Oryctolagus cuniculus: one gene and its partners. The protein of the gene in region 1 interacts with the protein of each later gene in a pairwise test. Links are inferred from orthologs where the notes say so. Each region holds a gene or a part of one and is shown in the gene's direction. Other genes may lie near its edges. The genes, in order: DISC1, OLFM1, ARIH2, CCDC88A, AGTPBP1, PPP5C and KCNQ5.

The links.
Region 2: the proteins of DISC1 (region 1) and OLFM1 interact in binary tests that used the Homo sapiens proteins (3 or more experiments, as listed by UniProt). The link is inferred for Oryctolagus cuniculus from reciprocal best matches to the Homo sapiens genes DISC1 and OLFM1.
Region 3: the proteins of DISC1 (region 1) and ARIH2 interact in a two-hybrid assay, tested with the Homo sapiens proteins (2 studies listed by BioGRID and IntAct). The link is inferred for Oryctolagus cuniculus from reciprocal best matches to the Homo sapiens genes DISC1 and ARIH2.
Region 4: the proteins of DISC1 (region 1) and CCDC88A interact in a two-hybrid assay, tested with the Homo sapiens proteins (2 studies listed by BioGRID and IntAct). The link is inferred for Oryctolagus cuniculus from reciprocal best matches to the Homo sapiens genes DISC1 and CCDC88A.
Region 5: the proteins of DISC1 (region 1) and AGTPBP1 interact in a two-hybrid assay, tested with the Homo sapiens proteins (2 studies listed by BioGRID and IntAct). The link is inferred for Oryctolagus cuniculus from reciprocal best matches to the Homo sapiens genes DISC1 and AGTPBP1.
Region 6: the proteins of DISC1 (region 1) and PPP5C interact in a two-hybrid assay, tested with the Homo sapiens proteins (2 studies listed by BioGRID and IntAct). The link is inferred for Oryctolagus cuniculus from reciprocal best matches to the Homo sapiens genes DISC1 and PPP5C.
Region 7: the proteins of DISC1 (region 1) and KCNQ5 interact in a two-hybrid assay, tested with the Homo sapiens proteins (2 studies listed by BioGRID and IntAct). The link is inferred for Oryctolagus cuniculus from reciprocal best matches to the Homo sapiens genes DISC1 and KCNQ5.

What each region holds. Positions count from the first base shown.
Region 1 is NC_091444.1:51,498,881-51,502,967, forward strand, and holds part of DISC1 (disrupted in schizophrenia 1 protein), read left to right. Parts: intron 1-3,066; coding exon 3,067-3,343; intron 3,344-4,087. UniProt on the Homo sapiens protein: Involved in the regulation of multiple aspects of embryonic and adult neurogenesis. Required for neural progenitor proliferation in the ventrical/subventrical zone during embryonic brain development and in the adult dentate gyrus of the hippocampus.
Region 2 is NC_091432.1:236,271,155-236,275,241, forward strand, and holds part of OLFM1 (noelin), read left to right. Parts: intron 1-2,274; coding exon 2,275-2,430; intron 2,431-4,063; coding exon 4,064-4,087. UniProt on the Homo sapiens protein: Contributes to the regulation of axonal growth in the embryonic and adult central nervous system by inhibiting interactions between RTN4R and LINGO1. Inhibits RTN4R-mediated axon growth cone collapse.
Region 3 is NC_091441.1:100,168,731-100,172,043, reverse strand, and holds part of ARIH2 (E3 ubiquitin-protein ligase ARIH2), read left to right. Parts: intron 1-225; coding exon of another isoform or gene 226-251; coding exon 252-320; intron 321-2,648; coding exon 2,649-2,732; intron 2,733-2,943; coding exon 2,944-3,015; 3' UTR 3,016-3,313.
Region 4 is NC_091433.1:147,168,900-147,173,534, forward strand, and holds the start of CCDC88A (girdin), read left to right. Parts: upstream 1-1,447; 5' UTR 1,448-2,322; coding exon 2,323-2,385; intron 2,386-2,481; coding exon 2,482-2,582; intron 2,583-4,635. UniProt on the Homo sapiens protein: Bifunctional modulator of guanine nucleotide-binding proteins (G proteins). Acts as a non-receptor guanine nucleotide exchange factor which binds to and activates guanine nucleotide-binding protein G(i) alpha subunits.
Region 5 is NC_091432.1:136,355,089-136,358,590, reverse strand, and holds part of AGTPBP1 (cytosolic carboxypeptidase 1), read left to right. Parts: intron 1-1,910; coding exon 1,911-2,088; 3' UTR 2,089-3,502. UniProt on the Homo sapiens protein: Metallocarboxypeptidase that mediates protein deglutamylation of tubulin and non-tubulin target proteins.
Region 6 is NC_091449.1:10,796,450-10,800,536, reverse strand, and holds part of PPP5C (serine/threonine-protein phosphatase 5), read left to right. Parts: intron 1-605; coding exon 606-671; intron 672-870; coding exon 871-969; intron 970-1,827; coding exon 1,828-1,933; intron 1,934-2,729; coding exon 2,730-2,872; intron 2,873-2,993; coding exon 2,994-3,081; intron 3,082-3,554; coding exon 3,555-3,595; intron 3,596-3,660; coding exon 3,661-3,839; intron 3,840-4,087. UniProt on the Homo sapiens protein: Serine/threonine-protein phosphatase that dephosphorylates a myriad of proteins involved in different signaling pathways including the kinases CSNK1E, ASK1/MAP3K5, PRKDC and RAF1, the nuclear receptors NR3C1, PPARG, ESR1 and ESR2, SMAD proteins and TAU/MAPT.
Region 7 is NC_091436.1:99,970,840-99,975,435, reverse strand, and holds the start of KCNQ5 (potassium voltage-gated channel subfamily KQT member 5), read left to right. Parts: upstream 1-1,363; 5' UTR 1,364-1,490; coding exon 1,491-1,891; intron 1,892-4,596. UniProt on the Homo sapiens protein: Pore-forming subunit of the voltage-gated potassium (Kv) channel broadly expressed in brain and involved in the regulation of neuronal excitability.

The sequences.
Region 1 (4,087 bases):
GAAAAATAAAAATTAAAAATTAAAAAGGAGATTTACCACACCAAATCTGAGTGTGTCACCTCAGACACCCTTCACCCTGGAGCACTGAGCAGAGCTCCCTGGCCACACCCACCACATGCTTCTAGGTATTCCTGAAAGCAGACACTCCACTGATCCATCTAGATATAATCCAGAGGTAAAGTCTCCACAGTGAACAAAGCAAAGAAGAAACCAACGAGTATCTCCACAAATGTGGGATAACAAATGCACCAGTTCAAGAAACAAGAATAAAGAAAACAACATGACACCCCCAAAAGAATGCACTTCAGTTCTAGACTGTGAAGATGATGAGATTGAAAAAATGCCACAAATGGAATCCAAAACATTGATCATAGGATTACTTAGAAGTAATCAGAAGCAAATGCACAACTAATGAATTCCATACATGACATGAAAGAAAATTTCTCCCATGAAATTGAGATCTTAAAGAGAAACCAAATGAGGCCGGCGCCGTGGCTCACTAGGCTAATCCTCCACCTTGCGGCGCACCGGGTTCTAGTCCCGGTCGGGGTGCCGGATTCTGTCCCGGTTGCCCCTCTTCCAGGCCAGCTCTCTGCTGTGGCCAGGGAGTGCAGTGGAAGATGGCCCAAGTGCTTGGGCCCTGCACCCCATGGGAGACCAGGATAAGCACCTGGCTCCTGGCTTTGGATCAGCACGGTGCGCTGGCTGCAGCGCCCCGGCTGCGGCGGCCATTGGAGGGTGAACCAACAGCAAAGGAAGACCTTTCTCTCTGTCTGTGTCTCTCACTGTCCACTCTGCCTGTAAAAAAAAAAAGAGAGAGAGAGAGAGAAACCAAATGAAATCTTGGAAATGAAAAATTCAATAGAACAAATAAAAAACAAAAAAACACAGTGGAAGCCTTAACAACAGAATCAGTGAAACAGAAGAAAGAATATCCAACTTAGACGACAAAGCACAGGAAATTATACAATAAGACCAAACACAAGAAAAAGAAATTAGAAAAATAAAAAACACTGTTGGGAATCTATAGGATACTATCAACAATCAACAAATGCTGGTGAGGATGTGGGGAGAAAGGTACACTAATCCACTGTTGGTGGGGATGTAAACTGGTAAAACCACTATGGAAGTCAGTTTGGAGATACCTCAGAAATCTGAATATAGACCTACCATAGGACCCAGCCATCCTACTACTGGGTATTTACCCAAGAAAAATAAAATAAGCAAATAAAAGAATTATCTGCACCACCATATTTATGCAGCTCAATTTACATAGCTAAGACATGGAATTCACCTAAATGCCCGTCAAGGGAAGACTGGATAAAGAAATTATGGGATATGTACTTTATGGAATACTACATAGAGGTAAAAAAAATGAAATCTGGTCATTTGCAACAAAATGGATGAATCTGGGAAACATCATACTTAGTGAAATAAGCCAGTCCCAAAGGGACAAATACCATATGATCTCCCTGATCTGTGATAACTAATAGAGCACCTAAAAACAAATCTGTAGAATGAAATTGACACTTTGAGAAGCAATGACTTGAACAGCCCTTGTCTTGACTGTTGAAGAACTTTTTTAAAAATGGAGAATGGGACTGGGAATGGGAGAGGGAGTAAGAGGTGGGGTGAGATTGGGGGTGGGAGGGCAGGTATGGTGGGAAGAATTACTATATTGCTAAGATTGTACTTATAAAATTTGTACTGATTAAATAAAAGGTTTCTTTGAAAAAAAAGTATCTATCATGAAATCAAATGGATGAATGAAAGATATACTTTTTTTAAATGCAAGATTTTTGAGTTTTCATGAAAAATGAAAAAATTTGTCTACCCCAAGTCCATGTGTCCTACAGATTTAATTGGACTGCACTTGTAACAGACTCCCTACAAGGAAATGTCCTTCCTACCAGCCAGAATCATTTCTTTCTGTTCTCTTTTGGCACCAAGGCTGAATATCTGTTGTGCATTTAATACCACCCCTGCTTGGCTCTCTTTATATGCATTGTATGCTGGGCACGCTAGCATTGGATTTTATGCTCCATGTTAATAGGTTCTAACAATGGAGTGGAAAACAAGATAGAAATAAGCCCTGACCTCAGAGAACAAACCAAAAATCATATAAATAATTAGGATTATGATAAGTAGTCTGAAGGAAAAGTACAAGATGTTAAAGAGAGAAATCATAAAATGTCTCTAATTGGAAGGGAGGGAAGGTTCCTGCAAGAAAAGTTTATTTAAGCTGAAATCTGAAGATACAGCAATTCAGCCGGATGTAGGTATGGGCATATATGGACTGCTGTTGTTTGATGGGAGAGAGATGGTCCAGGAAAATAAAATAGCACATGCATTTGTACTGAGCTGGGGAGAGTTAGGCAGATCTGAGGACCCAAAGAAAGTGCATAGGTTGGAACATCGATATGGACAGAGGCTATGTTGTATTTGGCCACTGGGTCTAGATGGTCTTGTAGAAGACCAAGTGGGCCGGCGCCGCGCCTCACTAGGCTAATCCTCTGCCTTGCAGCCCTGGCACACCGGGTTCTAGTCCCGGTCGGGGCGCCAGATTCTGTCCTGGTTGCCCCTCTTCCAGGCCTGCTGTCTGCTGTGGCCAGGGAGTGCAGTGGAGGATGGCCCAAGTGCTTGGGCCCTGCACCCCATGGGAGACCAGGAGAAGCACCTGGTTCCTGCCATCCGATCAGCGCGGTGTGCTGGCCACAGCACGCCGGCCGTGGCGGCCATTGGAGGGTGAACCAACAGCAAAGGAAGACCTTTCTCTCTGTCTGTGTCTCTCACTGTCCACTCTGCCTGTCAAAAAAAAAAAAAAAAAAAAAAAAAAAAAAGACCAAGTGGCTATGGAGGACCAACACTTATTGTGTGAGAACTTGATGGTATACAGATCTGGCACTCTGAATCTTCTGGCTGAAATAATTTGTTACAATATGAAATGAAATTAAGGATAACATGTCTAGCAGACTTCTATCTAGGTAAATAAGCTATTGACTTGGTCACCATTGATGAGTCACCATTGGGTTAATTTTTATGCTTTTGTTTCCTCCTCTGCCTTAGCTGCAAGTGTCCCCTGCTTGGAAGAGTGTGGGAAGCTGACTTGGAAGCTTGTCGACTGCTTATTCAGAGTCTGCAGCTACAGGAAGCCAAAGGCAGCCTGTGTGTGGAAGATGAGGGGCAGATGGGTGACTTAGAAGGAGCTGCCTGGGCAGTGGCTCCCAGTGTCCCTCCCAGTCCCCACTCTGAAGATGAGAGGACGACCCTTCTGCAAGCTGACCAAGAGTGGAAGGCTCATCATACCCCCTCCCCTCTATGCAGAGGAGGCGAACAAAAAGAGGTGTGTCCTGTCGGCGTGGCCTTCACAGGAAGGCCTGCTCTGGTGGGTGCTTTGGGACCATGCTGTACACAGAAGCAGCACATTTTGGGCAGGCTTATCATCAAACCACACAAACTTGGAAAAGTTTTTTTTTTTTTTTTTTTTTTTTGACAGGCAGAGTGGACAGTGAGAGAGAGAGACAGAGAGAAAGGTCTTCCTTTTGCCATTGGTTGACCCTCCAATGGCCGCCGCGGCCAGCGCACCGCGCTGATCCGAAGGCAGGAGCCAGGTGCTTCTCCTGGTCTCCCATGGGGTGCAGGGCCCAAGCACTTGGGCCATCCTCCACTGCCTTCCCGGGCCACAGCAGAGAGCTGGCCTGGAAGAGGGGCAGCCGGGACAGAATCCGTTGCCCCGACCGGGACTAGAACCCGGTGTGCCAGCGCTGCAAGGCAGAGGATTAGTCTAGTGAGCCACGGCGCCAGCAAACTTGGAAAAGTTTTAATAGCTATTGAATATGATTACAAAATTAAATAGAATTTTTATAGAAGAAATTTTAAACAGAGAAGGACAAGCAGGGAAAATGTTTAACATATTTAGTTTTATTTTTATACTAATATCATAGCTAGATTTAGAATATACAGGCTAATATAGAACTACTTTATATAGGCCACATTATACATGTCAAATATAACTTACAGTTATTATCAATATCCCATCCATGTCATATGTGACATTTAATTATATGTTTAGAATATATTATATTAT
Region 2 (4,087 bases), on another chromosome or scaffold:
AGACCTGGACCCTGCGCCCCTGGGGGGGAGGGCGGAAATAGCTTCCAGAAAGCTCTCCAGGCCCTGGGGACGAAGGCCCGGGAGCTTTCCCTCTGCCTGTGCCTGTTTAAAAATTTAAAGGCCCATCTTCCACGGCAGCGGCAGGCACGCCGGATTCCAGCGTGCAGAGCTGTCCTCAGCTCCTCTCCCGCTGGTCTGGGCCCAGTGCCCTTCTGTTCCTGGCTCTCAGCGGCCAGGCGAGGCACACACCGGGCACCCACCCCCGTGGGCAGAGCAGACGCCCCAGAACCCTGTGCACCGGCCAAGGCCGCCAGCGAGCTACTTCCTGGCCGAGCCTTCAGAGTCCCGCCAGGTGGCTGAGGACAGTCCTGGGAGCCACCACCCTCCCCCACCCCACCCCGTTCTGAGACCCCCGTGCCAGCCTGCGCAGGAGCCGCAGGGACCGGGAGCGGGCGGGGCTGTGGGCAGGAGGCAGCCGGCCTGGCTGGGCGACAGCGAGCAGGTTTGCTGCCCCTCGCCCAGGCTGTCAGCGCGGTCACCCGGCAGCACTGGGTAAACAGCCGGCAATCAGTGCGTGTGCTTGGGATGCGGGAAACCTTCTGTGAGGGGGTGTGGCCTTCCTGGAGGGCAGGTGGGCCTGCTGCCTGCCGCTGACCCCCGCCCTGCTCCCTTGCACCTGCTGCGCCGGGGTGGGGGTGGGGCATCGGGAGCTTTGGGGGCTGTGGCTAGGATGCCGCCTGGGGGCGGGAGGCTGGGGCGGCTGTTGGAGCCCTGGGCTGGAGGCAGCTGGCCAGAGTTTGTCTCTTGTAAGTCGAAGTTTGATCTTGACAAATTCAAGATTTAAAATCTTTACAACTTTCCCCCTCCAGCAACTAAGAGCTGTGTGTGGTCCCTGGCTGCTGCTCTCCGAAGGGGGTGGGCAGAGGGGCCGTCTTCCCAGCCTGCAGGCTCACGGCCTGGCCCTGGGCTTGGGTAGCGACACCGGCGTGTGGCTTGCTCCGGCTCAGGCTTGGGCCAGCAGAGTGATTTTGTTCCGCGGTAGTACGTGGCCCCGTCTGGCCTGGCTCATCCAGGAAACCTCCCTGGAGGAGGCGGCATTCAGGCTGGGCCTTGAGGGTGAAGGAAACCAATGGAAAGGAGTGCCTGGGGCACTCGGAACGACGGAGTGAGATGGGGGCAGGCAGACGGCAGGCAGGCCCAGGCCCGTTTCCCGTTGATGGAATGGCCCGGCGGGGGGGGGGGGGGGCCACAGAGCCACCGTCGCCCCGTGTTGTGCTTTCCAGACTGGGTTCTGAACCGGATCTGTGCACACTGCCTGCAGGCACACAGGCTGCCGTGGCTGCATTTTGTTTGCTGGACTGCAGGGGATGGGGGCCACGCCACCCCCCCCGAGCCTGGCCGCCCAGGCCGAGCCCGGCCCCACCGACCCCCGCGGCAGAGGGTTTTCAAATTCAGCAGAAATAAATAAAACCAGAAGAGATTTGCTGCCGGGGAGGTGTCCTCCTGCCTGGCCGCGGGGTCGGGTTCTGGGGAGAGGACCCCCGTGCCACGGCCGTCGTCCTCTGCTGCACTCCCGAGCCGGAAGCGAGCAGGCCGGCGGCTGCCGGGGGCCTGCCCGTCCCCCGGAGCTGTCTGGAACCCCGGTGAGCGGTGACGCTCCGTCTGAGCTGGGCTCGGTGCGGCTGTGCCGGCACAGGCGTGTGCGAGCCTGCAGAGCCGTGATCGCTCGTGATGCCGCGTGTGACGGATGGCACGCGAGCCGGGAGGTGGGGAGGGCCGTTCCCGGTTCCTTCCTCCTGCACTTAGCCCTTCCAGGGAGGGCTGGGGCTTTATACCTGGGGGCGGGGCCGAGGGTGGGGCCAGGCAATGGCACCTGGAGAGGACCCGCCCCCAGGGTCCTGGGCTCCCGCGTCCCCCAGATCCCAAGATCAGGCTCGGCAAGATGGCAGAGAGGATGTTGACAGAACCAATTTGCTCTGTGTGTGATGCTGCCGATGAGCTCGTAAATAATGCATGGAGCCCCTGGTGGCTGGCCGCGTGCGTGTGTGCGTGCGTGGGGGCGGGCGGGGGCGGCTGAGCGTGTGTGTGTGTGTGCATGTGCGTGCGTCCGTGTGTGTGCATGTGTGTGTGCGCGTGTGTGCGTGCGTGGGGGCGGGCGGGCGGCTGAGCATGTGTGTGTGCACGCGTGTGTGCGTGCGTGGGGGCGGCGGGCGGCGGCTGAGCCAGCCGGGCACCGCCGCAGCTCTTGCCTCGCGCCTGTCACCCTCTGCACAGGTGCAGAACATGTCGCAGTCCATAGAGGTGCTGGACAGGCGGACGCAGAGAGACCTGCAGTACGTGGAGAAGATGGAGAGCCAGATGAAGGGGCTGGAGTCCAAGTTCAAGCAGGTGGAGGAGAGCCACAAGCAGCACCTGGCCAGGCAGTTCAAGGTGTGTGCGCCCCCCACGGCCCCCCAGAGCCAGGCTTGGCCCCTCGTGCTGTCCCGTCCCCTGCAGCGGTGGTGACCTGGGAGCCCCGGGGGGACACGGCCAGGATTGCTCTTGCCCCGCACAGCGCCTTGCCACAGCGCTCCTGCCTGGCACGCAGGAGAGCCATCTGTGGGCGAGCCGGGCGCCGGCGCCCCACGGCCCCTGCTCCCCGGCCGCGTCTCCCGCCCACTCCTGCAGGTAAAGCACACTAGGCAGGGGTTAGCACGCTTGGCCGGAGCCATCTCTGAGCACAGATCACTCAGGGCAGGTCGTCCGTGACGAGGCACGCTGTGGACGGACGGGGGTGGGGGAGACGTGGGCCCCAGGGCCTCTCTCGCCTCGCAGGCGGTGAAGTGCGCACGGCTCCCGGTGACTGTGGGCACTAAAGCTGTGGAACCTGCACGCGTGACGTGCAGCTGGGGCGGCACCCCTGCTGGCTGCTGGTTTCCAGAAGGTTCCGTGGAGAAGTGCGTGCGGCCTCGGTTAAGATGCCGCTGCATGCTGCCGAGACGCGCGGCCCACGCGCCGGCGGCGCGCGCCCGGAGTCGCACAGCCTGGCCCCCGCTGCAGACTGCTCCCGAGCTTGCCCCCCCGTCCTTTTTATGCTAATGCTGTTCTTTGATCTGCTCCCTGCATGCAGCGAGGACTAATTTTCTTTTAAAAGCGAGACATTAGACAGACGAAACGGCAAACTAATGAAGTTATACGGTCTGTGTTACCCGTGAGATGCCGGCCAGCCCGAGGCCTCCGAGTGGCGGCAGCCGGCTGCTGGCCCGCCCGTGCCCGCTCCTCACGGGTCAGCCTGGGTCCCCCCGGGCTTGACGGGAAGGGGCTTGTGTCTCTGGCTCCCAGAGGGGCCGGCTCTCCCTGCCCTGTGGCCCGGAGACCCCCTCTAAGCTCCCGGGGCGTCCCCAGGCCACACCGGCCATGCGGGGGTCCCTCTGAGGGCCAGACGGGGGCGCCGCGGCTGTGGGGGAGCAGAGGTAGGCTCCTGCCCTTGCTTGACTGACTCCAGCAGTAGCGTGTGATTTTTTTTTAACTGACCGTGAAAGTGCTTGTCTCAGGCCGTCTGCGCGGCCAGGCTAGCGAGCTGGCTCCTCAACGCTCTCTCGTTTTCTTGCTTGCAGGGCTAACTTTAAAGAGTTTTTTCATGCTGCAGTGAGAGAAGACGCAGCCCACTCCCCTGTAACATGAGAGAGCCAGACAGCTTTTTGCACCTTGCATTTTTACTCTATTTTCCAATCCGTAGCACCATATCACTAAGGAAGCTTGAACTCAACCAGGAGCCTCCCTTGCATGCGGCCGTAGATGCATCCCAGGAGTAGCCCGAGCCCTTGTCGATGCGGTTTTTGAAAAAGGAAGAAAAAAAAGAACTCTGTGTTGTCTGTGACGTAACCGCATGTAACTTCCGGATGTTGCATTGTGCCAATAAAGACCTTTCCCAAAGCCCTCGGTGTCCTGGGACTGATTCCTACGCCTTCTGCCGGGGCGGGGCGCGGCGGCGCACAGCCCCGCCCGTGGGAGGAGCCGGCGAGGCAGGCCTTACCAGTTCTTGCATGCTAGGCACTGAACCCAGCTTATTTTAACCTTGCAGGCGATTAAAGCGAAAATGGATGAA
Region 3 (3,313 bases), on another chromosome or scaffold:
TCACTGAGGCAGTGCTGGTAATAAATCACAGTTTGAAAAAGGAAAGGTGGGTGTCCTGTGATCAGTTCTGTTCTGCTTTCCCCATGTCTTGCCCCAGTCCATCTTCTCCTTGGCTTGGCTCTGATTCTTTGAAGCCCAGACCTGTAGAGCCAGGTTAATCTGCATGGTGGGGCAAGAGTTTTCAGAGCCACCTGAGGTAGAGGTAGGTTAGAATCACAGACACAGGTCCCTTCTCTTCTCTCCTGCTGCAGTGTCGGTACACTCTGCAATACACCTATCCCTATGCGTACTACATGGAGTCTGGACCCAGGAAGAAGCTGGTAAGGCAAAACCGTCCCTGCACTCTGCCCTGGTAGCTTCAGAGGCGCCCTTTCCTTCAGCTCAGGATGGGCCCTGAGCGTTGGGAGGGCAAACTCAGAATGCAGCTATTGAAGTGCAGAATCGGGCAGCTCCAGGCGCATCTCAGGTGCTGTCGTTTGGGCAATAGACAGGCACATGCACCTAAGCCTCCAGATGACCAACCGTGCTTAAAGGGGGATTAGCTAAAAGATTGTGGTTCCTTGGGAGGCCCTGCCTATGCTTTGGGAGGATATCGGCATGCATGTCGCTAGGTTAGAGTCGATATTTTTATACCATTGTTCAATTTTCTTAGGTAAAGTTTTCTTCCCACTGCTTATAAAGTGGTTTGCATTTGTTAATTGTTGGAAAATATTCAAAACTTTTCATTCATGATCTCACCAGAAAGATGACCATTGTTGATTAACATTTTCTAGTCTTTAAAAAGTATATATAAGGAAAAAAAAGTATAGGTAAGACAAGGATATATATATATATATATATATATATATATATATATATAACTGTTTATTGTTAGGACAGTTTACTGTTACAGCTGTCACTATTTGATGGACTTGTAAATACCATTTGTTTTAAAGAATATTTATGTAGGGCCCACTGCTGTGGCATAGCAGGTAAAGCCACCACCTGTAGTACTGACATTCCATATGGGTGTCCATTTGAGTCCTGGCTACTCCACCTTTTTTTTTTTTTTTTTTTTTTTTTTGGACAGGCAGAGTGGACAGTGAGAGAGAGAGACAGACAGAGAGAAAGGTCTTCCTTTTGCCGTTGGATCACCCTCCAATGGCCACTGTGGCTGGCGTACCACGCTGATCCGTAGCCAGGAGCCAGGTGTTTCTCCTGGTCTCCCTTGTGGGTGCAGGGCCCAAAAACTTGGGCCATCCTCCACTGCACTCCCGGGCCATAGCAGAGAACTGGACTGGAAGAAGAGGAGCAACCAGGACAGAATCTGGTGCCCCGACCGGGACTAGAACCCGGGGTGCCGGCTCCGCAGGTGGAGGATTAGCCTATTGAGCCGCAGCACTGGCCTGGCTGCTCCACTTTCAATGTAGCTCCCTGACCATATTACCTGGGAAAGCAGCAGAGGATGGTCCAAGTCCTTGGACCCCTGCACTCATGTGGGAGACCCGGAAGAAGCTCCTAGCTCCTGGCTTTGGATTGGCCAGCCCTGGTCATTGTGGCCATTTGGGGAATGAACCAGTGGATGGGAGACTTCTCTCTCTGCCTCTAACTCTGCCTTTCAAATAAATAAACTTTTTTTTTTTTTAATAGAATGTATTTGAAGGGCAAAATGATGAGAGGTCTCGTCCATCCACTAGTTCAGTCCTCAAATGTCCATAATGGGAAGGAGGGAGAGGGGAAGGGGAAGGCTGGGCAGGCCAAAGCTAAGAGCCAAGAACTCCATCCAGGTCTCCCACGTGGGTGACGGGGACCAAGCACATGGGCCATACCTCATTGCCTCCCAGGATGCACATGAGCAGGAAGCTGGATCCGAAGCAGACAGGACTCTCTCAGGCACTCTTATATGGGTTGTCAGCGTCCCACACAGTGACAACACACTGCGCCACAATGTTTACCCCAAATATTATTTTTTAATGACTGTAAGTGCTTCATTATAGGGTTGTATGATGATTTTGGGTATTTATTATTTCTGGTTTCCACTATTGTAAATAGGAACTGAGGAAAACCTTTATACACAAAGCTTTATCTCCTCAGATTTATAAGTACTAAGTCAAATGATTAGAGTATTTTCAAGACGCTTGATTTGTAGAAGAGCTGGGAAAAAAATGAAATTAGTGTGGCTGTGCCATGTGGCCATATTCTTCAAGTAGCGTCCCCCCCTTTAACTTATTTGAGAGGCAGAGAAAGCGAGCACGTGCATACCCGCTCCGATCCACTGATTGACTCCCCGAATGCCTGCAGCAGTTCTTGGCTGGATCCAAAGCCAGAACTGAGAACCCAGTCCAGATCTTCTACATGTATGGCAGGCAGGGGCCCAATTCCTTGCTGCCTCCCATTATCTCCATTGGCAGGAGCAGCAGCCAGAGCTGGGTGTTGAGCCCAGATACGCCCATGTGGGATGCAGGCATCTTAGCCAGTGTCAACTGCTAGTTAAATGCCTGCCACTGTGCAACCTTTTGTTTGGATTTTGCTTGCTGGCCCTGGGCTCAGGGAATAACAGTGCTTTCTGAGGACAGTGTCAAGGTTGTCTGTAGCTGCATGTCCCTCTGTCTACTAGCTCTGCCTGGCTGCAGCCCCCTCCTTTTCATCCTCTCACCCTGCCCTTACAGTTTGAATACCAGCAGGCTCAGCTGGAGGCTGAGATCGAAAACCTCTCGTGGAAAGTGGAGCGTGCTGACAGCTATGACCGAGGGGTAAGTGCCTGCTGTCCTCTGGCAGATGAGAGGACTGGCCTGGTGGTAGGAGGCACAAGGTACTGCTTTGTGAACTGGAAGCTGCTGCCAAGAGGGTTGGGAAGGGCAGAGTTTTGACTTGTTTGGACCCCCTGGCATGGTACATATGGCTTTGGTTACTCTGCTCCGGAGCCTGGGCCATGCAAGCAGCCATCTTGCTTCCCTGGTGCAGGACTTGGAGAACCAGATGCATATAGCAGAGCAGCGGAGGAGAACCCTGCTGAAGGATTTCCATGACACCTAGGCTGGGACGTGGACGTGCTGGGGTGAGGAAGACGTGGCTGCAGGTCTCCTGACGGCCATGCTGCATGCTGCAGGCTCTGCCCTCACGACCCCAGGCGGCAGCCAGGGCCCCACTCCTGAGAGACGCTGGCAACACCTCCTAGTCATTTTACGTTTTCTTCTCATCTTTTTGCTTTTTGTTTCTACCAGGGTAGAGGCCATGTTGAATTGGCCTCTTTTCAGGACTTTTAATTCCCCCTGGATGATTGTTGGGAGGGAGGGAAAGTTTTTTCTGAATGGCTATTAATAGTATTAGATCA
Region 4 (4,635 bases), on another chromosome or scaffold:
TGCGAAGTTCTACTCTGTTACCACCTAAAAAAAGTCACATGAAAACATCCTAATTGTAATTAAGATCATTTGATAAGGACATGTGTTTCTGTTTCCCAAAAGCAAGATCCTTTCTCATGTAACTGAAGTAGGAGAGCTTTCATTTGAAGTTTCCTCCCAAAGATTCTTAATTTTAGGGGGAATAATGATGAAGACAACATCAACAACACTTATAAAATATTTCTATAAGCTGCCATTTCATTGAACTGCTTTACATATAAAGAAAGTGAAGCACAGAGCAGCTTAGTAACTTGCCTAGTCTCACAGAGCTAGTGAGCATTGGAACCATGCAGGAGAACTCCAAGCCCAGGCTCTCAACTACCTAATTAACAAACTGTGCTGTTTCTTAATTCAGTGCTATGACAAAAACATTCTCACTGCTAATTTAAAATAGTATGCAAGTATTCAAAGTAGATGTTTATGTAAGTGCAAACATAGCATACATTGTCAAACTATAACGCTATGCTTTCTCAAAAAATGTGTTTTACATGCCCATTTTAATCTCAAGAAAAAGATCTTCATTTCTCTTTGAAATGAGGAGTAACATTTGATTTTGCTAGGGAACTGTTAAAATTATTTTGATGGTTCCAGCCGTGCATAGCATAGAGATTTATAGTAAATATGTAATCTGTTTATTTGTCGCCCAAGTTGGATGACTTCCAAATGTTTCCTCTTTATAGCTCTTGATTTGTTTGGATTTTTTTCAATGGCCAAATCGTCACACACACACACACACACAAAAATGTCTAAATCACGTTTGCTCTTGTCAGGGAATAGCAACATGCTGAAAGATAGATTTGGTTGTTTAAAAATCCTACCACATTTCACTTGCATTCCATGCTTTAGAGGGCTGGATGTTAAAAAAAAAAAAAAAAAAGGAAAAGGAGAAGAAAAAAAGAACTAACTTGTGGCTCGCGTCCCTTTGCCCTTCGCTGAAGTCAGTTTTCCCATTCCATTCTGTTGGGGAGCAAGCATGCTGAAGAGATCAAACCAAACTGTCCGAAAAAGGCTGTCTGCATCCCTCATGTTTAAAAGAGAAGAATTTCGTTCCCCTTCCTTCACACATCAAAGAAGGCACTCGGGGAGGAAATAAACCATAATTAGGCACGAGTGAGCGAGCAGACAGACCCTTTCCTTTGCCTTCGCCATCCCCGCCCCCCGCCCCTGGCAACCATCCTGGGCGCTAGCAAGGCGCCGGCCACCGCAGCAGCTGCAGCGAGCGCGGCCCCGCGCCCGCGCCCGTCTCAGAATCTGGGCGGCGGCGGGGCCAACCCGGGAACGCGCTCGCCCGGGAGCGCGCTCATGCAGCGGTTTTCTTCTCCCACAATCCAGAGGCAGCGGCGCGGGAGGGGCGGGGAGTCGGCGGAAGGATATCGGCGCGGAGGGAGCGGCGCGTCCCCTTGACGGCGGCCTCGCTGCGCTGGTTGGGCAGCGAGTAGTGGGGTGTGACGCGGCACTGCGGTTCTGAGGCCGTTACTCCGGCTCCTCCAGAGAGGGCGGAGGAGGAGGTTGGAGCTCGGCGGTGATTTTGTGCCAGGGCTTCCCAGAGGCGCTCCGAAGAGGCTGGCGGGGCTCAGGCAGCCGGAGGTTTAGAGACGCACATTCAAGCCCCCATCCCCCGGGAGGGGAAGGGGGCTGGAGGCGAGGCGTGAGGGCGGCGGAGGAATGGTGTCTGCTCGGGGGGAAGGGGCGAGCCCTGCCTGTCGGTGGTGAGGGGCTGCAGACCGGGGAGGCTTCGCGGGTCGAAGCGGCTCCATGCCCACCGGTGGGTGGAACGTGTAGAGGGGAAACGCGGAGGTCGAGCCTGGCGGCCCCTTGGATCCCCTAAGGTGGTGTCTAACGTGGTGTTTGATAAAGCCCACGTTGGGATTAATTCATTGGGGGCAGTTCCGCTCGCTTGGCTGCTCTAGGAGCCGGGCAACCTTGACGGGCTTTTTGTCTTGCTGCTGCAGCCCTCTTTCCCCTTCCTCCTCCTCCAGATGCCTTTTCTCTGCCCCTCCTTGCCCGGTACCGACATTTCCAGCGCAGGCTGCTGCTCGTGGGGGCTGTCGAAGCCGCTTCTCGGGATTTCGGCTCGTTTCCCTCTGGGGTGTCTTTGGAGGAGGGAGCGTTTCCCCCCCTCCTCGATGGGGTTTTCCTCGCTTGCCAAAATGGACTTTCATTGATTTCTACTTCAACGTTTCGTGACCAATTCCCTAGGCGTATTTTTGTGGTAGTTCCTTTTTTTTTTTTTTTTTTTTTTTTTTTTTTTTTTTTTTTTTTTTTAAGTAGAGGATCTGTAAAATGGAGAACGAAATTTTTACTCCCCTTTTGGAGCAGTTCATGACCAGCCCCTTGGTCACTTGGGTAAGTGGAGTGCCCTTTATTGTAGATTTTGCTGGGTTATTTGTGGCTGCAGAGATGGAGGTGGGCGTTCATGCCCTGACGATCCTTCTGTTCTAGGTTAAAACGTTCGGACCTCTGGCTGCGGGCAGTGGGACCAACCTGGATGAATATGTGGCTTTGGTGGATGGGGTATTCCTGAACCAGGTCATGCTCCAAATGTAAGTCTTTTCTGGGTAACTTGTTTTCTTTGAGAAATAACGTACTGTGAACTTGAGACTTGATGTTTTCGCCCCTAATGTGGTTCTTGGGTTAGAAAAATGCAGGTGGTTCAAAAAATTGGATGTTGAAAGGAGTGAAAATCTTCCGTGCCCAACCCATTTATCGCAAGCCAGCAATTATGCCTGTTAAAATTGTGAAACTTTGCATTTTTCGTTTTGCCAACCTTGTGTTGTCACTTATTGTCTTCAGTGCTGAAAACCAAACCACACGGTGTCCTCTTTGATAATCTGGTAAGAAGAGAGAGAGGGCAAGAATGCAAATCTAGTGTCCTAATAGGGGGGAAAGGACTTTAATGTGAAGCTATGTGCATTTGATGCATATCTAAAAATAGTTATTTTTATACTCAGTTTTTGAAGCTAGTGAAGTAATAACATCTTAGAATTTCATACACAGTTCTGAGTGGTGAAGAGGACTGCTGCTGCAGCATGTAACTTAAATGTCTATAATAATTCAGGTCTGATTAGATGATTTATTGTGTGGACTTTGTGTCATATTTGAAAGATCATTTTAAGGTGTTCTTAGTTTTGAAATGTACATCATTGAAGGCTTGATGAGGACTAGACAACCAGTGATTTAGTAGTCACTTCTTTGTCTTTTATATTTATAATATTAGATCTATATTAAATGTTTTTGTTTGTTTCTGCAATGGAAATTGGATATTGAAAGTATATTGGTAGCTGGATTAGGGCAGTAAAAACAGCTGCATTTTTATTATTAGAGGTACTATAGCATACATGCATTCTAGGTCCTTCAGTGTAGGTTATCACACTGTGAATATCATTACAGTTGTGCTGTAAGTAATTAGCCTTATTCTTGAATAGAATCTGATTATAGGAGTAGTTTGGAACCTGTGATTGAAAGATGTTCTCATCTTTTATATATGTGGGAAATTAGTGCCTTATAAATCCATAGTTGCTAACAAGTAGAGAACAAGTCTATTCTGCTTTGAGAACTTTACATATAAATTAGCTATTCTGTATTTTACTGGAAGTTATTTTTCAAGTTAGTTTTCTGTTTAAAAGAGGTTAGATGTTAATTTCACAAATAATTGTTCCAGTTAGAGTTTGTATGCTCAGAGATTTATATGTTGATCCCACAGGGAGACATACTACTACCATACACTTTCCAAAAATGTTATATTTGTTTAGGTGCCTGAAGAAATGTATATGTTATCAAAATTTGTATTTTTTTCCTTAAGAAAGGAAGAGTGTAGACATTAATTATTTATAGGGTTAATAAATGTATTTTTGGCAGCTATCCCATGAAATTATTTTTTATTTTTGAAATATCCCACTATTTCCTAAGCGAAATGGTAGAAAAATTAAACTAACTTCTATTTTAGGAAACACACATGACAGGAAGAGTAGCCATTATGGTAGAGAGTCACCTTTTCCCCTATGTCTGTCTGTTTCAGAAAATTTTGAATTTGTGTGCATAACCCCTCCCCTTAAAAAGTATCTTTACAAAAATAGTAAAATTAGTTTTCTACTTTAGTGGATTTTTAAAATAATACTTTTTCCAAAAAAAGAGAAAGATTTGGGGCTTTTTAAGTCTTAAGTAGCTAGCCAAGGTGCTAAAAACAAACATGTTGGCTTATTTCCATTGTGTATAGGTATGTTTTGAAAATGATGGTGTTCCAAAATAGTGGTTGCCAGGGAGTTGTTTTTTTGGGAGGACTAGCTCCTTTCCAAACCTCAAATCTGCCACTGTGTTTTCAGTTCCACCTCTCAGTTTCTTTAAAAGTGTTTTCAGCGTCCTAATTCTGTTTGAATGACCCGTATAAATTAAAGAAAAAGAAAATTAAGAAAAAGAGAAGTATGCTTTTGCTTTTTTTCAAGAAAAATCTGCTAAAATAACATCGCAAATTTATCTTAATGAATTATTTAACTTTCAGGACAACAAAATATACATTGTTTTAAAAGTTATATTTTGCTAATTTTGAAATTATTAGGTTTTTTAAAAGATTTTATTTGAAAGGCAGAGTTAGAGAGA
Region 5 (3,502 bases), on another chromosome or scaffold:
AGGCTTTTTCTTTAAACCCTTTCCTTTAGTTCAGATTGGTTTGACTTTTCTGGTCACTCACTTTCGTGTGGAAAGCTAGGTCCTGGCCCCGACCCCGACCCCAGTGCATGACTGCAGCCCCACAACCACTTTCGTGTATGGCCTTCTGCTTTCTGCTGGGGTCCTGGGAGGCTGAGATTCACGTCTCGCGAGCCCACTCACCCAGCCGGCCACATCGCAGAGGCTGTGCACTCCTTGCCTGTGTCAGGATACATCGATCCCCGTGCACCCTGTCTCTGGGTCCAGCCCCTGTGCATACACAGGGCATGGCCTTGGAGCAGGTCCTTCTCCTTGCGTTTCCATGGTCACTTCTAGTTACAACATCTCGAGGAAGAAAATAGCGACACCCAAGTCTGTGGCAATAGACAACTCGCCTTTTCTCAATTCTCTCTCGCCTCCTCCTTTAACTCCATTTCCATCTATTCTAAGACTCACCTAGGATGTCTCCTGAGAATTTGAAACAAGGAGGGGAAACGAGTGATTGTAGTCCAAAAGAAAGAAAGATGGCAACAGGCATTTTAAAGGGCACATAACCTTCTCTTTCGATAGCTTCGTGTTTTAAAGACCTAGCCGATTTACTCTGCATATTTGATTTACAGTATTGAACTTGTGACATTGTTCTTGCATTAGGTATGGTGTTCAGCTTGATTTATCAGGACTGCTCTGTCATGGGCAAGCTCTGAGTGCTGCAGAGGGAGTTTGCTATATTATATTAGCTCAAGGTGGTTTTCCAATGCATTTTTCTCTTTTCTTTAATGAGTAAGATTAAAGTAACTCTAGGAAAAAAGTGCTCTTGCCAGATGGATTTTGTTTTCTCCTTTTCAAAAATTAGAACTATACCATCCGTTAATTCTCCATCCTTGCCTTGTGGGTATCCAAACTGGATTTTAACAGTCAGTTGCAGGAATGCCCTAATTTTAGGTGCCTCATGACATCTGCTTCTCTGATCATCTTAGCAATTTATTGTTCCTTTGCATTATTTGAGTTGATGGCTTTTAAATCCATTGACTTTTGGAAATGCCTTTTGGAAACAGACAGGATATAAACAAACATACCTCTGTATGAAATCACAGTGGTTTTGGTCACTGCCTTCGGAACTTGCAAATGTTTGTGATGTTTCTTTGCTACAGTGTACACGTGTGTGCGTGCTGCTTACACGTGTCTGATATCTCACAAATGGAGAGAAATCAGAATGCCGTGACTTCTTTTTCAAGAAGAAAGTATGTCACGAGACCTAGTGGAGAGGCGGTCTCACTCCCTGCCAGCCTACCTACTGAGCATTGAGAAGTGCTCAGTGCTTTCGGGCAGACATTGCTCTGCGTCCCCGAGGAGAGTAATTAGTTTCAGGATGGAGTGTTCACTTGTTTTTCACTTTTTTCCCCGAGCTGCGGCAGCCGTGGGAGTGGGTCTTTAGGCTGTGTTTATGATGGCTGATCACTCGATAGTCTTGGCACAAGTGATGTCAGTGCATCAGTTGAACCAGATACCTACAGTTTCCTATACGGCCTGGTTTACATTAATTATTACAGAACTTTACATATAAATCTTAATAGCCTGCAAACGGTTGAAATCCTTCCAAGAAAGAACCTAATGAGAGAGCCCCACTTTTTTTGTTTAGAAATCTGAGTAGGATGTATATTGACACTCTTGTAATAGAATTGAAAGTAAGCATGTCACCCTTGATTGTTCATACAAGGAGCTTTCAACTGTTATACATATCTCAGCTTGTTCATTTGGACACAGTTTTAAAAATTAATACAAGCTGCTCGTATTCTATGGGAATCCAAGTTGATCCCGTTTAGTGAGCTAGCCTTCTGTTAGAACAGCAGCCTCTCATGAAGTCTTGCGTGTTGTGTATGTTTTGACCACAGCCCTACCACTTACGTTTTGGATGAAGATGAACCTCGGTTCCTTGAAGAAGTTGATTACAGCGCAGAAAGTAACGATGAGTTAGATATCGAACTGACCGAAAATGTGGGAGACTATGAACCTTCTGCTCACGAAGAAGCGCTCTCTGACTCAGAACTATCCAGAACGCACCTCCCTTGAGCCCCCTGATATCTCTTGACTAACCGCAGAGAAGAAGCGAAATACCCTACACGGGGAAGCTGAGAGAAATGAGTTTATAGAGAACTGACTCAAAAGGACAAAAAGTAACTTGGGCCTATTTGGTTTCAGGACAATAAATATGTTATTAATTCGTGATAAAATTGGCACTTGTTTTATTTTAGGTATTCAATGCACTTTATATAGCATTGAATGATCAAAAACTAGATTTACTTTTAAAAAGAAACCCGAGTAGCATTGCATGGATTTTTTATCTCGTTATAGTTATGTCCTGCAGTGTGTCAAAATATGACATCTGAATTCTAGAGCTGTTGAAATCCCTGAGTCGTTCGTGACCAGAATATATTGTACATGGAATTCTATAGCTGTGTCTGTGTAAGGTCGGGTAGATATCGAAGACTGTGCTTCAGAATCATGTTATGGGTTGTGACTGAAATATTCCAAGGGTTTGCCTTGAAACCATCACATTCTACCTTTACCAAATTAAGCAAATAAAAACTCTATTAAATGCTGCATTCATTTCGTCATCCTTTTCGGCCAGCTCAGGTGATTTGGTCCATAGCACTATGTGAGAATCTCTGGACACATTGGTAAATTTAGAAAAGAAAAAAAAAGCCCAATTTACTACTCTTAAGTCTTTTATGATGTATGGGTGTGTTTGTACATATCATAAAAGATGTATTCGTACACCTCTTTTCCCTGATGGTGTGTTTCGTGAGCGTCCCCTGAGTAGTGCTGCTTCTGATGTGAAAGTCTTGGGGCTGCTGATGTGAAAGGTAGAGTCCAGGGTGACGGCCGTGGATGGAAAGTATTTTGTGTGGCTATAGCCTCCTGAATTCTAGCCACGCTGCTGCAGGAAATGCCTTTGTCGTCAAGCGATGGGCAACAGGTTTTGTTGTGACAAAACACACCCCAGAAGATACTCCAGTAACAGGTCCTTGCCAAGATGCAAGTGTTTGGGCCCCCATCTTCCTTGCTTGTTCCTAGAGTAGAATATTTTTCAACTAATTAGAATGGAAAAGAAATTCTAAACGTGCTTCTCAGGTTTTACAGTTTTCCAAACCAGTGATTTTTTTCTTTGTACAACTGAAGGTATTGCATCTGTAGTGTAAGTTCTTTTTGTTGTCTTGGGAGCCGTGTTTAAAAACACAGTATGGGGCAGCTGAAAGGCACTTACTTGTTATCCATCTCAGGAAATAAAGATTAACCGGGCTGGGAAGTCGAACCAGTTCTCTAAGTACATGAACCTTAATTTAGGAAAGATCAGGATACTGTAGCAAGGGAAAGTACTATTTATTTAATTATTTATAATTATAATATTTTAACCTATTTTATAATGTAAATAATTTACATATGTCATTAAAATCATACTTTTTGCAGAGAGTAGATTATGGAG
Region 6 (4,087 bases), on another chromosome or scaffold:
CGGCTTGTGCTGGTGCACTTGGCCTGAGTCTGTGCACCGCGCTCTCCCGTTCTCTCGGCCCGAGCCTGCGCACTGCGCTCTCCCGGTCTCTCGGCCCGAGCCTGCGCACTGCGCTCTCCCGGTCTCTCTGCGTTCTCTCGGCCTGAGCCTGCGCACCGCGCTCTCCCGTTCTCAGCCCGAGCCTGTGCACCGTGCTCTCCCCATGCACCTGCAGGCAGGTGGACAGACTGCGGAGGCCGGCTTCAGTCTGTGGGAGGAGCACCTCCATTTCCAGATGGAGTTTCCCTCCCCAGCTTTCCCCGAAGCACCCTCTAAGCTGTTTGTGCAGCGCCGCAGGCTCCATTGAAGGCAGAGCGCCACAGAAGGGGCTGGGCTGGGCTGGGCCAAAGCCAGGGGCCAGGAACCCAGTCCAGGTCTGCCCCGCGGGGGGCAGGAACCCCCTTGGCCGTGGCTGCTGCCTGCCAGGGTGCGCACCAGCAGGAAGCGGAGTCGGGGTCAGACCAGGCCTGCGGGCTGGAACGCAGATGCCCCGTCCAGCAGGCTGAGCACCGGCCCCTGGTGCTTCTGCCAGGATCCAGGAGGCTCACTGCCCGCCCCCCTTCCAGATTCTGGTGCAGGTCAAGGAAGTCCTCTCCAAGCTGAGCACGCTCGTGGAGACCACGCTGAGAGAGGTGCGCTGGGGGCGGGGCCTCTCGGACACCCCCACCCGACCCGGTCTCGTCTCTGCATTCTCGTCCCCTGACTGTCTCCCCCGACTGTCTCGCATGCGGCTTCTTGGTCTGCCCTGACCTTTGCCCCTCCCCTCACCTCTGCCCCCTCCCCACGTCTCTCTCTGGGCCCCTCCCTCTCCGGTGGCCTCTTTTCTTCCAGACAGAGAAGATTACGGTATGTGGGGACACCCATGGCCAGTTCTACGACCTCCTCAACATATTTGAGCTCAACGGTTTACCCTCAGAGACCAACCCCTACGTATCCTTGTGTGCAGAGCCGCCTCGCCCACCCCCAGCCCTGACCCCCAGCCCAGGTCGTCTCGGGGAGGGGAGCCCCTGGAGAGCAGGCTCCGCCAGGGAGGGAGCGGCCTGAGCCGTGAGCAGTGCCCAGGTGGGGGGCAGTGGCAGGCTGGCCTGGCACTCCAGGCTCCTGGCTCGGTCAGCTGTGCTGTGTGAGCCGAGCCGGTGGCCGGCCTGGTGTCTCTGAGCTGAGGTGCCGTGTGACCCGAGCCAATGGCCGGCCCGGTGTCTCTGGGCCCGATGTGCTGTGTGACCCGAGCCAGTGGCTGGCCCGGTGTCTCTGAGCTGAGGTGCCGTGTGACCCGAGCCAGTGGCCGGCTCGGTGTCTCTGGGCCCGATGTGCTGTGTGACCCGAGCCAATGGCCGGCCCGGTGTCTCTGGGCCCGCTGTGCTGTGTGACCCAAGCCAGTGGCCAGCACCTGGCAGTGCCCACGCCACATTCCATCCTGGCTTTGCCGCTCCCCAGTGGTGGGACCGTGGCTGGTTATGTTGCCTCCTGGAAACCACCCTGGTTTCCTCTGGTGAGTGCCAGGGCCGCCTTGGCGCCCTGAAGGGTTTGCAGAGAGGATTCCGGGCTGACGAGCGGTCGCTTTGTTGGCCACCAGGTTTGTGAGCTGCTGGTGGGGGCCCTGGGCCTGTCCTGAGGCAGCTGCAGCAGACTGCACACCGGGCAGGGAAGGGCCTGGCACGGCCTCCTGAGCCCCACTGAGTCCCTGCTCCTGGGGGAGAGCTCACGGGAGCTTGGGGGCCAGGCGAGGGGAGAGGACAGCCCCCCACCCGTCTGCCCCAGCCCACGGCTGTTTCCTTAGCGGGGTGGATATTCAATGGCGACTTCGTGGACCGCGGCTCCTTCTCCGTAGAAGTGATCCTCACCCTTTTCGGCTTCAAGCTCCTGTACCCAGACCACTTTCACCTACTTCGAGGTGAGCCACAGGGCAGCAGGCTCAGGTCCCTGGGGGCTGGGGGGCACTCACTCTCCCTGGCCTGATCTGTAAAGCAAAGAAAGCCATGGCAGCTGCACGTACAAGGGTCCTGGGGCAGTTTCTGTCATGTCTGTGTTCCACCTGGGTCCGTGTGAGGGCGCAGGTCCGGGCAGGGCCGCTGGAGGAGGGGACGGGTGGAGCTCTGGGCTTTGATGGGGGCTGATCAGGGCGGAGTCTGGGGCTGGCTCTCAGTGGTTCCCACCTCCAGGAGGCTGCTGGACACCGGGAAGAGCAGGGCAGGTCTGGTTCTCACGTGAATGACAGCCTGGGGCAGGGGCTGCCCTGTGAGAGGTCGGGCCAGTGGGGAGGGGCGCAGAGAAGCAGCAGAGCAGGAGGAGGGAGGGAGTGGGCTCCTCTGGTCAAGACCCTCCCTCACCCCCGGCCCCTTGGGACTGCCAGCCTGGAGGGTACACAGTGGGAGGACTCGGCCACTGCCCAGGACGGGGGTGGTTTCGTGCCTCGGCCACTGCCCCGAGGGTGGAGCTGTCAGTAGGGCAGGGCCTGGGGCCTGGGTGAGATCTCCCAGTCCAGTTGCTGCCTTCAGGAATGGTCTGAGCGCAGGGTCCACCCCTCTGGCTGCTGCGACGGGCCGCTGCGGGCGCTGGGACTGACTGGCTCGGGCTGCCTGCCACATGGGCAGTCCAGCCTGATGCCCAGGCCTGCACCTGCGGGTGCCGGGCGGGGGGAGACGGGGGACCTGCGGGCTGAGGGCTCTCCCTCTCCCGCCGACGGCCAGGCAACCACGAGACGGACAACATGAACCAGATCTACGGCTTCGAGGGCGAGGTGAAGGCCAAGTACACGGCCCAGATGTACGAGCTGTTCAGCGAGGTGTTTGAGTGGCTGCCGCTGGCCCAGTGCATCAACGGCAAAGTGCTGGTGAGGACGCGGGGATGGGCACCCGGGCAGGGGCGGGGCCGGCCCTCCCCCCCTCCCCGGGCACACGGGCAGACGGGCGGGGCCGGCCCTCTCCTCACCTGGCCACCCCCTGCCCCCCCAGATCATGCACGGGGGCCTGTTCAGTGAGGACGGCGTCACTCTGGACGACATCCGGAAGATCGAGCGGAATCGGCAGCCCCCAGACTCAGGTGAGGAGGTGGGGCCGGCGCCCCAGCAGGGCGCAGCAGGTGAGCCTCGGGGCCCCTGCTGGCCGGGGGGCTGGAGCGTCCACGGGCAGGGCGAGGCTGTGGGGAGCCCTGGGAGCCCATCTGCTGGCCCTTGGAGGGAGGCTGCAGCTCCGTGCACCTGTGCGAGTGTCACACAGGGCTGGGGGTGCAGCATTGGAGCCGACTCCCCGAGAGCAGCAGCTGCCGCCCGCGCACAGTCGGGCGAGCCCGGGCAGCTTGGGGGTGGGAGGAGCCCACGGTGTGGCTGGCGTGAGCTCGACTGGACCAGATCCTGCAGGGAAAAGTAGGTGAATGGGGTGCGGGGAGGTCGGCAGGGAGGCTGGGGCTGGGAGGGCAGGCCCGGCAGAGGAGGGCCCCGTCCACCCGCCTCGGGCCGCGCTGGGGGCTGGGCACGGCCGGCCAGGAAGCCCCTGACGCCTCCCTCCACCCCCCAGGTCCCATGTGCGACCTGCTCTGGTCGGACCCACAGCCACAGGTGAGTCTCGGGCCCTCGGGGGCGGCGGGGGTGGGGCGGCAGTCTCTGAGCCCCGTCTCCCGCAGAACGGGCGCTCGGTCAGCAAGCGAGGCGTGAGCTGCCAGTTCGGGCCTGACGTCACCAAGGCCTTCCTGGAGGAGAACCACCTGGACTACATCATCCGCAGCCACGAGGTCAAGGCCGAGGGCTACGAGGTGGCGCACGGTGGCCGCTGCGTCACCGTCTTCTCCGCCCCCAACTACTGGTGCGTTCCCGCCGGCCGCCCTGCCGGCCACAGGTTTTGTCTGGGTTCCAGTTACTTAAGGCCGAGCAGCAGAGGGGATGCCGCGTGCCCTCCCTTGCCCTTCCCCGTCTGGGCTGTGGTCTCCGCCGACACCCCCAGTGTCTCCCAGCGATGGCACGTCCCCCGCCAGAGGCGTCTGCGCCATTGCCAGAGCCCAGTCACCGCCGTTCCCCGCGTCGCTGGTCAGAGCAGCACCGAGCGAGGGCCCC
Region 7 (4,596 bases), on another chromosome or scaffold:
TAGAGTGTTTATCTCAGAGGGGTGGAGACAGCCGAAATAAGACTTTTGCCTTAGTATTACTTTAGGATTAGGGAAGGAGAAAGGCACGCGGAATAATACACCTTGCAAGCTTAGTTCAGTCTAAGTGGAGATTGCTTTCTCTCTCATTTGGGAGCAAAGCCACTCTGCTGGAGGAAGTTCCCCCAAGCGGTGTGTGATGTTTAACCGCTTAGGCGTTATCCCACACACGGAAGGCCAGTGGCCCCGTGGCTTCCCTCCCGACCAAAGGCGCAGGCTCTGGGGCGCCTGGCTGCCTGAGGCGGCGGGAACCCCAGCCGGAGGTTCCTCGCAGCACGTTTCTCACCCAGTAAGTTAGAGCAGCGCGCAGGGGCGGGGTGGGAACCGGAGAAGCCTTGTCCTGGGGCTCCTCACCCTCCAGGATTCCTCTCCCAGGCACTGGGGCCGCCGCCGCCACCGCCACCGCGACTTAGCAGTTTTATGACTTTCTCGGACTTAAATGGAAATTTCTTTACGGAGGGAACTGGGTTTGGTCTCCAAGGCTCGGCTGTCAGGCGGAGCCCCGGGGGCAGCTCGCTCACCGCAAAGGAGCCACTTCGGAGTTTGACGCCCTCCCCACACCCCACCCCCGTGCCGCGAAGGATGTCCAGTTAGCCGCGGGCTTGCGTTCTGAGGCTGGCATGGAAAGTCACAGCCCGCAGGCTGGACTGAGCCGCGGGAAGATGCCCAGTGCCTGCCTCGCGGGCTCAGCAGACGCGTCCCTCGGCCCTGCCCACTGAGCTGCCGAGGACTGGCTGGCTGCGCCCAGAGCGTCGCCCCTCGCGCCCCTTCCGGCCGGCCGAGCTGCTACCTGGAGGGCAGGGCAGGGCTGGGCAGTGCCCGCTCGCACCCTTTGCGGGAGGATGGCAGGACCTGGCGCGGCGTAGCGGCTGGAGAGCGCAGCGACCTGCGTCTCCCGTTTCTCCTCGGGGCACCTGGCCGACTTAACCTTCCGGACAGCTAGCTCCAAAGCCCCCGGGAGAAGCAACCCGCACTCGCACCGCGGAGAGGGGAGCAGACACAGGCTGGGCGTGGAGAGTGGAAAGAGCGGAGAAACGGAGAGCCTGGGGCTGGGCGTGCGCGCGTGGGAGCGCGCCGCCTCAGAGCGCCCCGCACTCCCCCGCTCCAGCCCTGGGGGCACTTGGGCAAGGAGGCAGTGGTAGCCGCGGGAATACGAGGGCGCGAGAGAAACCCTCTCCCGGCGACGCCCCCAACAGGTCCGGACTCCGAACTCCGAAGCTACAAGCTGCAAGCAATTGAGACTCGTCGGCCTCCTCCGCACGCCCCTGAGCCCCCGCCCCGAAGCCCGGGGGCTGTGCTGGCTGCCGGCTTCCCGCCCCCTCCCCGGCGGAAGGTCGCTGGCCGGCGGGCGCCCCGTCGGCTGCCGCCGCACATGAGGCCGCTGCCCCCGACGCAGGCGCTGGCGCCCCCCTCGCGGTGCCCGTGGTGATGCCATGCCCCGCCACCACGCGGGAGGAGAGGAGGGCGGCGCCGCCGGGCTCTGGGTGAAGAGCGGCGCGGCGGCGGCGGCGGCGGCGGGCGGGGGGCGCCTGGGCAGCGGCATGAAGGATGTGGAGTCGGGCCGCGGCAGGGTGCTGCTGAACTCGGCGGCCGCCAGGGGCGACGGCCTGCTGCTGCTGGGCACCCGCGCGGCCGCGCTCGGCGGCGGCAGCGGCGGCCTGAGGGAGAGCCGCCGGGGCAAGCAGGGGGCCCGGATGAGCCTGCTGGGGAAGCCGCTCTCCTACACGAGTAGCCAGAGCTGCCGGCGCAACGTCAAGTACCGGCGGGTGCAGAACTATTTGTACAACGTGCTGGAGAGACCCCGCGGCTGGGCGTTCGTCTACCACGCGTTCGTGTGAGTACCCGCGCCCCCCGCGCGCCCCTCGCCACGCCCGCTCCTGAAGCCCCTTGAGCTGGGTGCCCTGGAACGTGCTTGGCATCTGCGCCTTGGCCCGTCGCGCGCATAAGCGCGCGCGTACACACACACACACTCACGCGCGCACACGTGGGGGTTTTATTTCATTGCACGTGTTAGTGGGCTTTCTCCTGGAGCCATGCACCTCCCCATCCCCACCTGTCCCACAGCCGCAGCTTTGCACCCGTCTCCCTGAGGACACCCAATGAATTGCCTGGTAGTAGCTTCAGGCACCTGGGGCGGGAGAACCCGGCAGACTTAAGCTACGCGGATAATGGGGAGCAATTAGGTCCTGAGATACGTAAACTTCAACCGAGCGGGGCGCCCGGGAGCTGGGAAATGCAAAGGGAGGATTTGCGCCCTTTGAGGCTCGAGAGTAGACAGGGGAGGTGCTGGCAGGTTGGGACAGGGTGGAGAGAGGAGACACCGAGGGCTGGGTCCTCGGTGCTGGGGGCGGAGCAGGGGAAGCTGCTACTTGGTGGAGACAGCGGCTGGGTTTTAAGTGCGTCCGGAAGCATGCCTCGCCACCACCCCAGCCACCACTAACGGAAAATCTGTCAGTGCGTGGAGCCCTTCCTGCCACAGAGAAAGTGGCCAAGGTCTCCAAGAGCCGAGCGGGCTGGGCGAAGCCGTGCTCCCTCGCTGCGGCCGCAGCCCGTGGGGCGCAGGAGCTCGGGCCGAGGTGCACCCGCTGAAGCGCAAATGGGCTGTCTCGGACAGGGATCAGGCAGTGGGTTAAGTCGGCGTTTGTGGCGTGGAGTCAAAGTGTGCGTGTGTGTGTTAAGTCAGCCCTCGCCATCTAGCAGAGAATGCTTAATGAGAAAATGATTGGAAGCAAATGTTTATTTTCCCCTTAGGCATTTAAAACCTTTCAGTGGCTTTAAAGTTTACTACTGTTTTTCCCACAATGTCCATTCATTTAATCTCCCGTTAGAGTGAGGTTGATCTGGACATTTTAAGGCTGTTTTTATGCTGCTACGCCCCCAACTCTTTTCATTTTTTTTTCTTTCCCTTTCTCCTTTTTTCTTTTTCTCTTTTTAGTTCCCTCCCCCCAAACCCCCACCCTGTCTGGCTTCTTAATGTTAAAGTGAAATGTAAAGACTTAGGTCTTAGGAGACCCATGGAGAAAGTTCAGGCAGTCACTGATGCGTTCCTTGTTTCGTAGTAAAATATGTTTTGAAATATGTTTTGAACACACGAACTAGATTTCTTTTAGAAATGAGGCGGGTCATCCACACATATCTCTCAGCCCGGATAAAGGGTTGGCGTCAACGCGGAGTCATTTCTTTTTTTAAGACAACATAAAAGAAGGGGCTGGTTTTGTAAATAGGTGAACCTGGAATTTGACCACGTAGGAGTCAGGAAATTGGTGAAGTCTACAATCTGTGGGGTTCTGGTGTCTGGAAAATTTTACAGTCCCAGATTGTGTGGTGTGAGGTAGAATATTCCAGTCAACTCTCTGCTTCACAGTGTACACAAAGACGATATCCTGTTGTGTCATTATTGCTTCAAAAGACACAACTTTCTGTTATTCACTGATTGCAAGAGCCTCATTGATTTGGATGTGATTACCGTCATGCGTGATAGACACAGAGAAACACTACTGTTGTTTCCCATGTTCATCTCGTTGGGTTGATCTGTAATTAATCCTATTACTTAATGAGCCTAGTGAATTATTTTGACCTGTCAGAATATCCTAAAACATTTAGCAAAGTGAATGCTCAATCTGGCAGGAAATATATACTGCATGGGTAGTGACTGTTTCTACCAGAGTATGCCCAGAATAGTCATGACTTGGAATTTTCAATATGATGCCATTTATAGGCTTTCTTTTTTTTTTTTTTTGGGTAATTTATGCATTTTGTATTCAGGAAAGGTTAGAGACAACTTTGATTGGTGGACATACTTTGTATTTCCTGTGTTGTTCTTGAACAGCAATGAGAACCTCCTGCAATGCAACATTTTCTTTTGAGTGTTTTTGGTGTTTAACAGATTTTCGTGGCCTTACAGGATTTTTAAATATTAATAAATGTTTTCTCAAATGGCTCAAGTTTGGATACACTTCTGTTTCCCTGGCTTTATTGGTCTAGCAGTGTCTTTGGTGGTAGATAGGAGATAGCTTATGGACTTGTCAATATGTTGTAAGTAATGTGAAGTTGTGCATTACACACTTCAAGAGTCTGAAACCATAGTATCTGAGCAACAGATGTGGGTAGCAGACCCATAGCAGCACAAAGAAGGAAGTGCTGGTAGCGTCTTCAGGGAGCATTGTGTGCCATTGCAGCAGACCATGGAGAAAGAGGCCATTTTTGGCAATTGCTGCTTGTGATTTTAAATGAGTTGTAGTGTAGGTGGACTTCACACATTAAATTAGTAAAGCAAAGTTGCTTTGAGCTATAAGCCTAACCAGACCATTAATAATACAGCAAATTATAAGAAAACAATTTCTAGAGAGTTGTAACTAACTAATTCCCTGCCAGCGTGGGAATCCCCAAATCTTACATTAATAACAGTTTTTGTAGCACATTAAGGTTCTTGCCAAAAACAAGTGCACTGTGATTAATGAGGCAGTTCATCAATGAATGCACTTGGTCAACCAGTATTTTCACCGCCAAGAAATAAGAAAAGTATGCTTAAAGCTCTGT